Linked DNA regions of Arabidopsis thaliana. The protein of the gene in region 1 interacts with the protein of each later gene in a pairwise test. Each region holds a gene or a part of one and is shown on either strand. Other genes may lie near its edges.

Region 1 (4,512 bases):
TTGTTGACATTAAAAGTATAACAAAATTCTCTGACTTATGTCTACCGATGCAGCTTATTGTTAATTCCCAAATCTAAGCTTAACTCTGTTAGCATATAAATCCTGATTTAGTAATGACATATTGATACTTTGTTACTTTTCATCAAACAATCTAATACTGAACTAGATGAAAATACAGCATTGATATAACTGAAAGATGGTTATTGACAGTGATAAACTGACCTAAATTATACCCTAAACTGACACACAATTCTAAAGCATATCAGTTTCTAAATACACAATAGATACAAAACTCATGAATCAGCTCATACCCATGAATCTCGACAAATACAAAAACCCATGAAAATTATAGCTTATAAGCATCATAAACTCAATACAAAACCCATGAATCTTACTTTGTCCAAAACGAGCTAAAATAAATAATCGAATCCATCTAATGACTCAAGGACAAATCAAACCCGTGAGTCTTACTGCAAGAGATAGAGAGGTAGAAGGGGAGAGTGAGAAATAGTGAAATCAAATCCATGAAACAGAGAGATAGAAGGAGAGAGTGAGTGAGAGAGAGAGAACGCACGAGAAATCCGGCAAAGAATAGTGGATTACGGCAAGAGATAGGAGTGAATTCTAGTGAGAGATCCAGTGAAGAGGTCCGGCGAAGTGAATGTCGAGGAATGAAGGAGAAATAGGTTTAGGTTTTGCTGGAATTCTTTTTAGGTAGGTGTATTTTATGACATTTCGTATTTTGGATTAAATCAGCTTCCGTTAACTGCTGTTCTGTTCCTTTTTTAAATGAGTTTATTAAAAACCATCCAACTGATCCTTCTCGCTAATCTTTTAAAGTACTGTTCGTTTTTCCATTCGATGATTCATCTAAATGAAGATAAATATTGACGTTCGTTTATAATAATTTAAAAGATCATCTGAATGGAGAAAAGAACAGTATCTAATTCACACACAAAATGAACATAAAAATTAACTAAAACTATAATCATATTTTTCTCCAACAATTTTAAAAACCAAAACCCATGAATGTTCGTTAATTTCAGTTTGTTTAGTGTAACGTAGTTTTACCCAGTAAATAATAATTTATTAAAAAAATTGTGGTGTTGGTTACCAATTTTTACATTTTCATTGATATTCACTACAAAATACACAAATAATAATTAATTCATAATCTATGTGAACGTGGAGGTTTACTTTTATTAAAACATAAGACCCTAGTCAATGATTTTTTCACACGTAGTAGATGATTAACTGTATTTTCTGAAATCAGATACGGGTAAATCTGGAAAGTAAATATTATTACTAAGGTTGAGCTTTTGGAAAAGTAAAAATATTTCTCTTTAAAAGAAAAAAATAATAAAGATTTTGTTACTTAAAATTCCAATATTTGTTTCCCTTTTATTGTTTTCCTATTATTAAAAGGATTAGATTAACATAAAAGCAATCAACCGACTTTAATTACCAAGTAAGAAATTGTTTTTACATAGATCTATAAATAGGGCACCAACTTCCCAAACCTTGAGACCATCACACAATTCACAATCAATCGCAGAGCCGATTCTCTTCAAAACTTGTCTAGTCCTTTGTCCTTGTTGCAAACGATGGCAGAAACGAAGAAGATGATCATCCTCAAGAGCTCCGACGGTGAATCCTTCGAGGTCGAGGAAGCCGTCGCGGTCGAGTCCCAGACGATTAAGCACATGATCGAGGACGACTGCGTCGATAACGGAATTCCACTTCCCAATGTCACCGGAGCCATCCTCGCGAAGGTTATCGAGTACTGCAAGAAACACGTTGAAGCCGCTGCTGAGGCTGGTGGAGACAAGGATTTCTATGGTTCCACCGAGAACCACGAGCTCAAGACTTGGGACAACGATTTCGTCAAAGTTGATCATCCTACTCTCTTCGATCTCCTTCGGGTTAGTAATGTCTTTTTCTTTGTTTTTTGGTTTTATGTTTTTAGAATTAGGGTTTTTTATATTTTTTCCATGACTATGTTAGGGTTTTATTTATATTATTGAATGTTGTGTTTTGATTTGGAGACTAATCGTCTTGGTTTATAAAGGCTGCCAACTATTTGAACATCAGTGGACTTCTTGACCTTACGTGCAAGGCCGTGGCTGATCAGATGAGAGGCAAAACTCCAGCGCAGATGCGTGAACACTTCAACATCAAGAACGACTACACACCTGAGGAAGAGGCCGAGGTTCGCAATGAGAACAGGTGGGCGTTCGAGTGATTGGAAAAGAATTTAAGAACATTTGATATCAACAAATAAAATAAGAGAAATTTATTTTGCCTGAATTTCTTTTTGCTTCCAATCTCTTTTGTCACAAAACTCCCAGAAGTGTTTCACATTTTCTTCATTCAATCCCGGCTAAACTTTATATACATAAAATCACAAAGTAATATGCATTATCAATCAAACGATTTCACAGACAAAAAAAACAGAAAAGAGATAATAATACGTCTATCTATATAAGCTATATAATTATGATGTATTTATATATCCAATTTGCCACGTTTATTTTATGATACAATAACATGTTTGCCCGAGCCATAGACGATATGAGGCCAGATGAACATGGTCGGATCTGAAATAGTCTCAATTTCTGAAATCCAATGGTAAGAGCTTATCTTCCTTTCTTATCTGCTTAAGATATAGATTTTTTGAATTTCCTTATAAAATGATTGGTATGTATAACTAAATTGGTTACAGAAAGGAAGAAAGGACCTTTTGCATCATTCGAACCAATATAAAAATGGTTTTGTTTTGGTGATAGTGAAATTAAAAATAAGCTTTCCTTATACATTGATCAAACTCGTACATGATTGGCATAATTCAGATGATTCTGCTTATACCAACTAATATGTTTTGCTGTATATGCTTGTATATCTCAGATGAGAACGGTCAATGTTTGGTAAGAAAGACACTAAACTCTGTTGTTACCAATACAAAGGTAAGAAGAGTTCATTATAATCTTTAAAACAAAAGGGATAGATTCCGAGTGTTATATAAAACTAAGTCAAATGTTTTCAATCATAGATGTTTCCTATAGCAATATTTAGAAGCATTAGTCGCAGTGACAAATGACTTATTTTCGAAAATAAAACACAGGTTAGTAATAATGTTAAATTGCTTTTGATTGCTTATTATATCTTTTTGTAGATAGACTCTGAATGTTTAAAATGATTGGTCCTAACTTAGAAAAGATTTTGTATTCATGTTTGTTTCTACATTAACAATAACACTATATCAGATCACGACTCAATTTACGAAATTATGAATGTGATTTCATTAATCAAACTTTTAAAAGTTTATGAACATACGTAACAAAATAACAGAACCTAAATCTAAAAACAAAAAGTCAATAGACACAGTAGATCATACATTTATTAATTTATCTCAAATGATGGCTTCATAAAGTATGAATCTCGTTGTTATTGTGTATGATTTATTGTGTGGGGGATAGATGGAAGATTTTTTCTTTATAAACTATTTTTTTTGCACTTGTATTGAATGTGATATTAAATTGTGTTATCCTTACCTTTTTGTCTAAGCTGCTAAGGATGACCTGTATCGTAAACTTTCAGATGAAATGTTCTAAATAATATTGGTGAGCCTCCTAAAGTCTGTGACTCATTCCTTTATTTTGTATGCAAGATCTTTTGAATTTTTCGTTCTTGGAAGATGATCATTGATCAACCTGAGGCATCGCGTTGGAAAATATTCAATTTGACTTATTCGATCATCAACATCTTTGATCATCACTGTATCATAGATCTTCGAAAATAGCTAGGCTTTGATTTACCCTTTCCAGGATTCTGAATTAATCTCGTGTATAGTCTAGGATTTTGAATTTAGGGTTTGTATGTTCTTGGATTCTGACATACATGGAAGACTGTTCTACAATACACAAACGGGTATTGTGGCTATTTTGATATGTTTATAGATGATTAGTGGAGGCGGAGGACATGACTTATAGTTCATGTTCATATCACCGACATCACAAATAATAGGAGAGAGATAGACATATATCTTGCAGTATCCAATCATAACCAAATTCTTAGCCTCATTTTATCTCAATAAATTTTCATTACACTATTAAATGATATTTAAACATATGTACCCATAAATTATAGTGATCATATCAATCATTTTCTAATTTTTTCTTCTTTTTGTTTACTTTTTTTGAACTTGATGATCTTTCTTCTATAATCACATTTGATGTGTGCTTCACATCAACCATCAAATTAAGAATTTCGACTACAAGCAGAATCACAGAAAAAAGAAAATTAATTAAACCCAAGCCATATAAGTCAATTATATATAGAGTTTAATTATCATATAGATAATTATATAACTAATGCATATATAAATACCATACGGACCATGTTGCGAATGATGAAGATGTTCGGACCTTTGAAGTATTGTCTTGATCAATTTCTCTTCTTTTTTTACCATTTCCCATGCATGCTCACATTTAGCTACTCGCTCACTTACAAAAT
Region 2 (6,326 bases), 9.5 Mb from region 1:
TCTTATGTCCTGTCGAAAGATAGTTCTTCAAAACATGTACATGGGTCTAGGATTATACCTTAGCATGTGAAGCCTCATTCTTGCTTCTGTCCACAGATGAAGAGCCAGAGGTACTAGGAAGGTTTTCTTTAGCTACAGCAGTAAAGTCTTCAGCTGAGATAACTTCTGTTTCACAATGGACTTTAAAGGGATTATTATCTTTCAGAAGGATATGAGCAGCACTGATATTGGTTCTGTTTTGCTTTTTGTTCCGCACACTGTCCTTCTCTCTTTGTTGAGCAGAGCCATTCAAGAAGCCTGTATCGGTAAGTAATACGCTAGATTCTGCAAGCAGGGAATCCACTTTCTCAGATAATGTATTCATAGAACAATTACTAGCATATTCCTTGGTCACATTTCCATCCCCAGTCTCAGATTTTTCGATGTCTTTACTATGCTGCTCTTGATCTTGAAGAGGAACAAAATTCTCCGATGCTGACGTTGTTGCATTTGACAAATTTGTTGGAGATGACACAAACTTCTCAGGGGTGCTGGCTGCCTGATTTCTCTGTTGTTGTTTACAGAGCAGTGAACCTTCTATCTCAGAATTAGTATTTCCTTCTGGACTTCTCCGTGCAAACACATCGCTAATGTCAACAGCAGGAATCAATGCACCGCAACTGTGTTGATCTGGTATGCCTTTCTTTTCAGAAACTGGTGGCCTGTCATCGCTAGTGTCAACAGCAGGGCTCAATGCACCACTACTGCATTGATCTGGCAAGCCTTTCTTTTCTTGAACTGGTGTTCTATTATCATCGCTAGTGTCAACGGCAGGGTTCAATGCACCACTACTGCATTGATCTGGTATGCCTTTCTCTTCTGGAACTGGTGTTTTATTATCATCGCTAGTGTCAACAGCATGGCTCAATGCACCACTAATACATTGATCTGGTATGCCTTTCTCTTCTGGAACTGGTGTTCTATTATCATCGCTAGTGTCAACAGCATGGCTCAATGCACCACTAATGCATTTATCTGGCATGCTTTTCTCTTCAGAAATTGGTGTTCTATTATCATGTTTAGATAACAAAGCCTCCAAGTTGGTAATGGGTATATCCGCATGCTTATCCCTGAGTACACCTATTTCTTCCCTCCCAATTGATGGGGTAGTCAGAAAACGGTGTCCGGATAATTGAAGCTTTGATTTCTCAATTCTTTGAGAAAGAGCAGAACCAGGTGACGGTGGAATCAAACCAAGTCTGGATTTGCTTTTCTGAATGGTTGACAAGCTCTCAACTAGTGCCCGAGTCTCCCTGCTCATAAAGCTTCCACCCTGTGTAGGGGAAGGAGTAACACAAGATAAAGACTGAGGCAACATACCAACTAAAAACGCACTTTGCCTTCTAATAGTTGACGAGGAAAGGGAAGCCTCTTTTGTGTAACGTTGGCTTCCTGATTCCTGCAGACCTATGGGAATGCATCCATTTGGAAGGGACGAGGAAAAATCATCGATAGGTGATCTTGCTTCCACAGTATTGTCTTCAGGAAGCAATTCCTTGCTTTCATCTCCCATTAGAGCTGCTAGTGTAGGAGATAGATACCCGTAATCATATCTCCGAGAATTTTCACCGACGATACTCATATCATTCGAGTCTCTACCACCACTTCCTTTATCAACTGGTACAGGTGATTTTGGAAATAGCTTCTTAGGTTCTGTTAACACCATTGCACTTCCTGTATCAGATCTGGAAGTAACCTCAGTTGGTGTTTTCTCTTCTACTAGAAGATGGCTACTCGTAGGGGTCCTTACATCTCCAGACTCTGACCTAGCAAGACTCCGAAAATGCATCGAAAACGCCGTAGAATCCATCGTCATTTCATGGTGTTCTTCAGAGATAGGAGTATCCAACAATCTTCCAGGATTAATAAAATGGGAAGACACAGGACCGAAGAAATTATCCTCTGGTAACGAAAACAAAATCGATTCAGCTAAAAATTCAAAGAACAAAACCCTAAATTCACAGAGCAATTGAAGCGTACCGTTATCACTTGTAGCGGAACCAACAGTGCTACCTCCTGAAGATGGAGAATATTTCGGCCTCAAGAATGATTTATCCAAGATAGGTTCGTATTCACCATCACCATCTCCGTCAGTATCTTCGCGGTCAGATAATTCACCGAAAAACCTAATTACTTTATTATCCTCATCAGGCTCTGATGTATCACCACCGTTTTGGGGTTTCGCGGCGGAGGTATTGGGCGGCGTCTCGTAATCTTCGTCCCGGTTGAAAATGTGAACGGAAGTAATTTCCCGGTCGGCGAAGCTCACTCGTCTTAGCCGCTTCCGCCGTTGCGCTATAGATTCCTCGTCTGTTCCTATTCCGGCGGTGTTGTTCATCGGATCTTCTGGCTTTTCCGATGCCATTGGGGGAATTTTCGAATTTTTAGGGTTTGAAATTGAATTATTAATGTGCGGGAAATGCAGACATTTTAAGTTTTAATTTGAACAGTACTGAGAAGGAAGAACATTTTGATTTTGATTGAATTGATTAAATCGGGTAAATGAAATTTCAAACATAGTTAGGCCTAACCATTTGATTAATTAGATTAACCGGTCGATTAATATTTATTCTATAATACTTTTTTCTTTGTACGATTGGGCCTTACTTATAAAGGGCCGAATAAAAAAGCCCATTTAAAGAAAGACTTCTTTTTCGTTTTGCATGTGAATGTGTTGTTGGGATTAGATTCGATTCTTAACCATCGGTCTCGTTCATTTCGACTTCACTTTTCGTCCTCTTTCTTCTTCAGATCATGTATGTATGTCGCTAGTAGACATGGATCCATCAAATCTCTGAGACACCTGAGCTTGATGAATAGCCATAGACAAAGCTCTTCGATGCAAATTCTCTTCAACAGCAATCAACTTCCTCTGTGAACGATTCATTCTCTTGCTTCTGGATCAATCTCCTCCACTTCTGATAACAACATCTTTCTTCTTCATGCAGATTACTCTGTTACCCATTATTCACAAAACCCTGAATTTTGCCCAAAGTGATTCCATCATTGCTTAGCTTTAGCCGGGTTCTTGTTTGGAGCTGTTCCTTATGCAAAAAAAATCTGAAAGTTTCTTAGCGAATTGTTACCTCTATTAATTTCAATGGAACAGAAATTGTAAGTATCTTTGGTTCGTTTATGTTTTTCTTAGCTGTTATAAAGATCCAACCCTAACTCTTTGAACCCTAACTTTTTTTTTTTCCTTTGATTTTTGACAGCAAAACCGATTCTATGAATGAGGACAGAATCAGTGACTTGCCTGATGCTTTGCTTCTACAGATATTGTCTTCACTTCCGACAGAAAACGCCATAGCCACGAGTGTTTTGTCTAAACGTTGGAGATCTCTTTGGACTATGTTGCCAAAACTCAAGTTTGATTCCAATTTCAATCCTGTGTTTGATGATGATAACATAGATCCCACTATGTTTTCAGAGAATGTTTACAAGACTTTGTCTTTACATAAAGCTCCGGTTCTAGAGAGTTTGCATTTGTCATTTGAAGGTAGAACAGATTGTTTGCATGTTGGAATATGGATTGCAACAGCATTTGCTCGCGGTGTGCGTAAATTGGTATTGGATAGTTTCTATCAAGAGGATCAAACTGTCACGCTTCCTAGTGTTTTGTTTAGCTATAATGATTCACTTGAGATCTTGAAACTCAAGTGTGCTATCGATTTAGACTTTCCTTCTCGGGTTTGTTTGAAGTCTCTTAGAAAGCTATACCTTGACCAAGTACATTTCAAAGACGAAGAATCTGTTTGCAATCTTTTATGTGGCTGCCCTAGTCTTCAAGATTTGGTCGTGCATAGATATAGCAATGCCGATGTGGCGACTTTCACAATTGCGTCGCCGTCATTACAAAGATTGACCATAGAAGATCTTAGACAAGAAGGAGGTTATGGAAATGGAAGCTATGTGATAAATGCCCCTGGTTTGAAATACTTGAACATCAACGGGGTTATTGATATTGAGTCTTGTTTGATTGACAAGGCACTAGAGTTAGAGGAGGCAAAAATCAGTAACGTTTCTGGTATAACCAATGAGAACATTCTGGAGTCTCTAACTTCAGCCAAACGTCTTATCTTACACTTATCACCCCTTGAGGTAAGCTTAAGATTGAACATTTTCGCTTGGTTATTTTCTCTGCAAATTGGGCTAACACTGTTTTTGTGTATCTAAAATGTATGTAACAATGTTACACTGTTTTGTGGAAATGTACTTAGGTTAAAGTTCCTACTGGTAAAATCTTCGATCAACTAGGCTGTCTAGAGCTACTTACACACGAAAGAGAGTGGTGGAATCTGCTTTCGATCATGCTTGATAGTTCTCCTAAACTACAAATCCTCAAGCTCACGGATGTAAGCAATTTCACTAGTTGTTTGTTTCCACAACTCCACTTTCAGGTAATTTGTTGATTTAGATGACATAAACTGCATTGTTCCCAGGTATATCTGCATGACAACAAAACAAATCCGGACGAACGAAAATGGAATCCACCAAAATGTGCACCGGAATGTTTGTTGTTCCATCTTGAGACATTCTTGTGGATAGGATATGAATGGCAACGAGGTGATGAGAAAGAAGTTGCCACATACATCCTAGAAAACGCAAGACGGTTGAAGAAAGCAACTTTCTCCACAAAACGCATCGGAAGGGAAAAGCTCGAAGATTTTGAGAAGAGGCGTGAGATGCTCAACGAGTTGGCTATTGTGCTCTGGGATTCAAATTCATGTCACCTTGTGTTCGAATCTACTTAATATCTTAGACTTGTATTTTGTTGGCCATTGGGAAATGTTTACTTGGCTGCTCTACCATATATGTTAGATGCTAAATGTTTGGTGACCTTTTGAGGAAGAGTATCAGAAGATTATTACTTCTATACTAGATAATAATCCGCGGTATATTGCGGGTTAAAATCTTTTTATATAGTATAAAGTTTAGATTTGTTGCCATCCGAATATCTATTTTTTGAATATCTTGCATCAACTAGAAGAGTTTCTCTCAATGCTAAAGTGCTTCAAGAGATTCGTTGGCTCAATCTTATGAGGCTATATAATTTATTTCATTTGGTTGCAAAGAAGGTTAAAATGAAAAATACTTGGGTTCAAATACTACAGAGCATTACAAATAGTTCTACGGCACAAGGGGAGGAAACTCATCGCTCGCGGAGTGCATCCAAACTTGGTTTGCGACAAGGCAATGCTAAGGATAGATTTAAACTAAAAGTTACGAAATTTTTTGCATTAAACATGTGTAAACTTTTGTTTTTTCTTTGAATATAATTTAACATTAGATTCAAACAAAAAATAGTTTCCTGCGACATGACATTGTTGTTTGAAGTCAGGACTATGATGTTATCATTTGTCAATAAAAGATGAAGAACAAGATAAGATTTACAGCCACATGACACAACAATAAGTGAATAGACAAAAGCTTCTTAATTGTTTCCAAGAACTACTACTCAAGTTTGTATGCATGAAGAAAAAGGCAAAACTCTGGCGGCCAAGGGTTACTACTCTTGGTCGAATAATACCTGCTCCCTGTACTTGTATCGCTCTCACCACCACCACCACCACCGTGACCACTTCCTTCCATGTCGCTGTCTTCGGTGGTCCCTGGTTTGAATATGAACAAACCATGGCCTGTCCCAGGCATGCTGAACAACCAATCATACACGTCCCAAAACACTTGAACAGGTTGTTTATCTACCAACACTGTCTGATTCCCTCTGAATTTCCATTGCAAATTCTTGACTTGTATCAACACAATCCCATCTATGCTAATCCACATCTCTGGCTCTTTAGGCCCGGAGGTCGAGCTTTCCACGATGATCTCGTGTTCTTTTTTCCTATCGTAAAACTTAGCCCTGGTGGTGAAACACTTCTTGCCAAACACGTTTTCTTTCTTGTAGAACAAGGCAGCCTCGACCAAAGCAGGCCTCGACTTTGTTCTCTTGAAAGCTTTCTTCTTGTAATCACCCACAAGCAAAACCACCTCTTCCTCCGAGACTAAAGCCACGTAGAAATCCGAGCTCGGCTCTGGACTACTCGTGAATTTCGCAGACCTAAAATCCCAATACACCTCTACCGGGTTACCTTCCACATCGAACGACTTGTAGCCTTTCTTGTTCCAAAAATGCCAAGGCTTCAGATCAACCTTGCAACAATAATTCATATCGCCTTCCACGTTTGTCACCATGACCATAAGCGAATGATTCATGAGATTCTTTGACCACAATACCGTAACATTCCTCCAGAATCCGGATATATGCGCTTGGTAAATGCACGTCA
Region 3 (6,172 bases), on another chromosome or scaffold:
GATCTTGCTAGATCTTCCCACAATCTTCACATCGTAATCATGTTCTTTTAAGAAGAAAAAGTGTTGTTTTCACACTCTTAACTCATATATAGATACACGAAACACGATTTGACTACAGCTTCTACTCTCTAGGTTAGTTAAAGTTTTTTTATTATTTTAAAAGTTATTAGTTAGATGCTTTTCATAAACGATGCAAGAAGGTACCCAAAAAGAAGTTGCAAAAACAAATCTTATTAGAGTTTGTTTTCATTATTATCGTTGCGTTTTATTTGTTTACGAGTGAAGAAAAGAGAAACAAAAATATAGTTGCTGAAATTTTAGTATTTATAAAATTCGCAGCAATGGATATTAGAACGTATCCATAATCTGACTATAGATAATTCTATATCGTGCCAAGAGGAACCAAAATAAATTGTACATGTCGTTTGATTCATTCCTTTAATTTATTGTGTAAAGAAGGATCCAATCCTAACAAAGTCTTCAAAACCTTCACATTTTTTCGAAATTTAACGACAACTATAGGGTTTCTAGCTAGATTTGAAAGTTTTTTCACAGTTACACCTTTACCTATCTGCAGTAATACTTCCACAAAACTAACGTTAAACTTCTGCCGGTACAAATACATGTGCTTATGTAAGAATGAAAACATTTTGAATTTAATATTTTGCACTGGACACGTTTTTCTTTTGCCATTATGGATTTTCACATAGTGACGGATACGTGTAGATCCGCCGATCCCTATGACAACATAGCATTTTGGAATTTGTTTACGTTCAACTCCTTTAAATAAATAGTTAAGGCAGTGCGTCACTATACTGCTTATTACTACATAGTCTAATTTGGTATATGCTTTGATTATGGATTTATGATAATCAAAAGTTATATGGTATAACCAATTGTCGTTAGCTCAATTGGTAAAGACCTTAGGCGAAGCTTAGAGGTCGCCGGTTCGTGTGATGTTTGGGACGAAACTAATATTACATGCTGTGGTTTCGGGCCTGAGGGGATTACGGGCTTCGGCCCAAAACTTCTTGGATTTCAAAAAATAAAAATAAAAAAGTTATATGGTATATTCTTTTGGATATTTCATTCTCTTTTTAATTTCGTTTCGCCTTAACCGCATTCTCTAATTAAAAATTTAGGTACATGATTCACACTTTTACAGTTTAGCAATGTATACAGTTTCGAAACAAATTCAGTTTCCAATGCCCATGAAAACGCGTATAATACCATAAAAGTTTATGTTCTCAAACTAGATTGAGATTAGTGGCCAATTGATCATGCATGTTCCATTTAACTGAAGATATACGTAAACATGATCAATCGTCCATGAGAACAATTTCAGTCTTGCTACACTAAAATGCAACGGATCGTAAAAGTGATTTATATTTTCATAGAACCACCACATAAATAATTAACAATTGAATTCAGATCTTAAAAAACATAGACAACAGAACCAATTTTGTTCTAAAAAAAGGCACTAAGGAGCAATGTGATCATATAGTTTAATGAGCCAGCAACTAATCGCACACTTGTAATATAATGGAATATATAAATATGGGAGTAGCTAGCTATATAAACCATAAAGGGTAAGGGCATATGATCGAAAGAAGAAAGAAAGTAATGCATATGGAGCTGAGATCAGTATATAGCTTTACACGTTAAATGTAGTTAGTGCACATGACGAAAAACTAAAAATAATACACTTGAGATAATTTGCGTTGATTTTTAATTTTGAATTTGTAGAGTGAGTGTATTAGGTAAAGGACAGGCCACTGAGAAACTGCGAGAAGTCTAGGCTAAGGAAAGTAGAGAGACAGACCTTTCAGTGTTTCAAAAGCAAAGTATAATTACTAAAGGTAAATTATAATTTTTAAAAATGATCATTTATTTATTCAAATATCAAATAATTAGAAGACAATCTTTCTAAAATAAATATAAACAAAAAATGACAAAAAGGTTACCTCATGTGGTATGTCATTTTCAGCTAACCCCTCTGGTTGCCAGAGTAAATACCAAATTAAGTAACTTTTTAATTTACTAATGTATAATTGTTATCTTTCGCCCTCCTAAATTTATAACAATATATAATATACTGCTAAAAAATATATAAAACTTCTTATATTAGTAATCCGATATGTTGGTTAAATAAAATAAAACTGAAATAATCATATTTAGTCTAGGTACAATATTAATAACGCCGGGTTTAAAAAATCATTTAATTGGTTGGTTTATGAGTAAGACAGCATTATTATTGGTGTTATGATATTTCATTGTTTTTTGTGTTTGCAAGTTCTAATTTTTGTTTTTTCTTTCTTTTGCAAATAATTAAATTATTGTATATTTAATACTCACATAGTAAAAATTAAGGAAATAACACGCGCTAACACGCGCCTCAACTTTAATCATTTTATTTATTCAAACCCCATTTCGGAAATAAAAATGACAAAAAAAAGAAGAAGAGGAAGAAAAACAGCAAAAACGTCTACTCTTCTCTCATCCTCGCGCTTGCTCTCTCTTCTCTTTTTTGTCTTTCCCTTTCGTCTCTCTATCTGTCTGTATCATTCATTCGTGTTTATTTACAATCGAACCACGAAACGTCTCTTCTTCTCTATAAAAACCAGATTTTTCTCAATCTCAATCTCTCTCGCTCTCGCTCTCGTTTTCTTTGATGAACCCTTTTACTTCATTCTTACTCTTGATAAATCCAAATTCCCGAGAAACCCATTTCATTTCCTTCTTCTGTTTCTAGAAAGACCTCTTCTTTTCGATAAACCGAGATCCACGAAACCCGCATTTCCTCTCGCTAATCTATTCTAAATTTCGATACTTTTTTTTTTTTTTTATCGGTTTGAATCTCGAGAATTCCGAAGATTCAGAGTCTCCATAGTCGAAGGTGTGTAGCGAATCGAGATGGGTTTCTGTTTGATTTCACTGTCGCTTTCTCTGCTTTCATTTCTGAGTGGTTCATTGATCTCTTCCGTGTTCGTAATCTATGATTGATGATGTATGTTGTTATCAGATGTTTGATTGATGTCTGCCTATAGTCTAATTTCATTATTAAGAACGTTTTTTTTTTGTATACCTAACATCTAAATTTTGTTGTATTAATTGTCATCAGTGGAATCTTGACGTTGAAAGGATGACACAAGCTTTCTCCTTTTTGTTTTTCTTTTGTCTGAAAAATGTATTGCAATGTTAGACAAAGTCTTAATACTATCTCTCTTCTTCGTCTTCTGCATTTTCGATTTACCATTATGCATGTATGCTAAAGCAAATCTGATTGACAAGGTTTTCTCTTGATTTATGTATTGTTGTTTTGTGTTGTTGAAATGAATGATATTTGGGATTCAGATTCGTAAAGCTTTAAATCTTTATGTGTTCTTTTCTTGGTAATGGATTTATTTATTTTTTGTATCGTTGTTTCAGAGGCTCTTGAGAATGGAAGCAGAAACGTCTTGGACCAATTATCCGTACAGCTACATTACATATGTCCCTGAAGCTGAATCATACCGTGAGCAGAGCGACGATGAAGCCAAAGTCGAAACCTTTTCAATGGATTCTCTTCTCCCTGACGATTTATTAGAACGAATCCTCTCGTTTCTACCCATTGCAAGCATCTTCAGAGCTGGTACTGTCTGCAAAAGATGGAACGAGATTGTATCTTCTCGGAGGTTCTTATGTAATTTCTCCAACAATTCGGTTTCCCAAAGGCCTTGGTACTTCATGTTCACTACCACGGATGATCCATCTGGTTATGCTTATGACCCCATTATCCGCAAATGGTACAGTTTCGATCTCCCTTGTATCGAAACATCCAATTGGTTTGTTGCTTCCTCTTGTGGATTGGTTTGCTTCATGGACAATGATTGCAGAAACAAGATTTATGTCTCAAATCCAATTACCAAACAATGGAGGACGCTTATTGAACCTCCTGGTCACAAATCGACAGATTACACGGCAATGTCTACCTCCGTAAACCGAGCGAACCAAGCAGTAAACCGCGCAAACCGGAGTTACTCAGTCTCGATAGTGAAATCGAAGCAAGTTCCAGGGAATTTCTTCCAATGGGATCTCTCTATTCATCTCTACAGCTCTGAAACAATGACTTGGACAACATTAGTAAACGATGTCTTATCCGGATGGAGAGGAGGGAACGAGAGTGTGATCTGCAACAATGTTCTTTACTTCATGATATACTCAACGGGAGGCTCAGATCATCGCCACGGCTTGATCGCTTCGAATCTATCCTCGATAGGATCACCGTCAAGCGGAATCTTGATGAGGAGTTTCATTCCAATGCCGTGTTCTTTAACCTGCGGGAGATTGATGAATCTAAGAGAGAGGCTTGTGATTGTCGGAGGAATCGGGAAACATGATCGACCAGAGGTTATAAAAGGGATAGGGATTTGGGTTTTGAAAGGGAAGGAATGGGTAGAGATGGCGAAAATGCCTCAAAGATTCTTCCAAGGTTTTGGTGAATTCGACGAGGTTTTCGCGAGTAGTGGCACGGATGATTTGGTTTACATTCAAAGCTATGGATCTCCCGCGCTTCTCACGTTCGACATGAATCTCAAGTATTGGAGATGGTCTCAGAAATGTCCTGTTACTAAAAAGTTCCCTCTTCAGCTCTTTACTGGGTTTTGCTTCGAACCAAGACTCGAGATTGCTCCTTAGTTGCAATGAAGAAGCAAATGGGTCTGTGAAAGTCTTGGTCTTTTGGATTGTTTTTGCACAGAGAAATCGCCGGCGGCTTTATGAAGATGATGATACGGTAATGTTTTTAAATTTTAGTTACTGGAAATGTTTTTCAGGAATATTGTTATTTGCAATTTGGTACTCTGTTAATTATAAATTTATAAAATGAGGCCCAGATACTTTTATTTGAACAAACGAACCCTTCTCTATCTCTCAGTGAAATATAAGAACATTTTTCAACATGTGGCCCACAATATCTCATGTAAATGGGTCGGATTCTGAAACTGGAGGTTGTCTTGTTGCTGTTCCTGGTGGATAAAAATAATGATTTTGTTCCTTTTTTTTCCACATATATTCATAATGATTTTTCATGTTTTATTAATTAATTATTGTTGTAAATTATTTTAAAGAATTATGTTTCTGTACTTGTATAAAATTGGGACCTATTTTCGTGATGGGATTTGTCAGGTTTGGCAGTGTTAGGTTTACGGGTAATGGACAACAGCTATTTTATTGTGTATTTTATCATTTTCTCAAGGGTCACTTATTTTCAATTTTCATAGCTATAATAATTTACTAAATTTTAAAATATAACAAAATGTCATTCATTAGTTATAATCGTATAAAAGTTGACGAAGTGATATATAGATTCTACATACTAAAAACAAAATTAATTTGTGTCATTATGCCAAAATGTCAAAAGGAAAAGAAAATTTAGACAATTACTCTGACACATCAAATCAGCTAAAACCTAACTAAATATACCAAACTAGCAACACATATTTTTGTTATTAAAAGCATTTATAATGATAAATCATGATCAGAATCATAGTAAGCAGATTCGAACACTAGTCTCTCAAATTTCGGTAGTAAAGTTTTCAACCATTAGAAGACAAATACGATTTTAACATCATTAGTATTGTTTTTTCTTTTTTAATTTAAGCGTTGGCTTTCCAAAATGAAATAGTAACAAGCATTAACGAGTTAAGTTGTCAATGGGGGAAGTTAAAACTCTTTAAAACCAAAAAATTGACCACACAACACATATAGTGCCCACTAGTTCTCTCAAACGAATATGGAATACTTTAAAACCCACCTCTATTCTCAAGAATTAAAGCCCAGAATTTCAACGTTCTAAAAATAGTTTTGAAAGATTTGTTTTTCACGGGTTTTTCGTAAAATAATTATGAACAAAACAAATAAATTCAAACTAATTTTTACACGTACAAATCTGACTCCTAGCCTCCTAGATGAAATTCAAAATTTTGTACCAGCAGCTCAAAGCTACTAGGTAAAAAATGTCACGAGAGAAAACCGGAGGAATATTGGTGGTTCATCAATACGAATCAAACCGAACCAAGTCATAAACCGGTTCATAGAAAGATAAGAAGACAGACAATCAGTCATCACTTTGGTCTCGTTGAGCCTTTCGTCTATCTCTCACCTGAAAGAAAGACGTTCAGCTTTCTCTTTC

The links. Proteins that work in one complex are often made in the same cells at the same time.
Region 2: the proteins of SK3 (region 1) and AT2G04230 interact in a two-hybrid assay, tested with the Arabidopsis thaliana proteins (2 studies listed by BioGRID).
Region 3: the proteins of SK3 (region 1) and HWS interact in a two-hybrid assay, tested with the Arabidopsis thaliana proteins (2 studies listed by BioGRID).

The regions. Positions count from the first base shown.
Region 1 is NC_003071.7:10,946,644-10,951,155, reverse strand, and holds SK3 (SKP1-like 3), read left to right. Parts: upstream 1-1,529; 5' UTR 1,530-1,604; coding exon 1,605-1,922; intron 1,923-2,068; coding exon 2,069-2,242; 3' UTR 2,243-2,409; downstream 2,410-4,512. UniProt on the Arabidopsis thaliana protein: Involved in ubiquitination and subsequent proteasomal degradation of target proteins. Together with CUL1, RBX1 and a F-box protein, it forms a SCF E3 ubiquitin ligase complex. The functional specificity of this complex depends on the type of F-box protein.
Region 2 is NC_003071.7:1,445,492-1,451,817, reverse strand, and holds AT2G04230 (FBD, F-box and Leucine Rich Repeat domains containing protein), read left to right. Parts: upstream 1-2,717; 5' UTR 2,718-3,139; coding exon 3,140-3,153; intron 3,154-3,254; coding exon 3,255-4,140; intron 4,141-4,259; coding exon 4,260-4,394; intron 4,395-4,481; coding exon 4,482-4,793; 3' UTR 4,794-5,023; downstream 5,024-6,326. Other genes in the region: AT2G04235 (uncharacterized protein), read right to left, coding at 59-2,404; AT2G04220 (DUF868 family protein (DUF868)), read right to left, coding at 5,494-6,326.
Region 3 is NC_003074.8:22,789,473-22,795,644, forward strand, and holds HWS (Galactose oxidase/kelch repeat superfamily protein), read left to right. Parts: upstream 1-2,639; 5' UTR 2,640-2,995; coding exon of another isoform or gene 2,996-3,007; 5' UTR 3,008-3,195; coding exon 3,196-3,291; intron 3,292-3,429; coding exon 3,430-4,677; 3' UTR 4,678-4,869; downstream 4,870-6,172.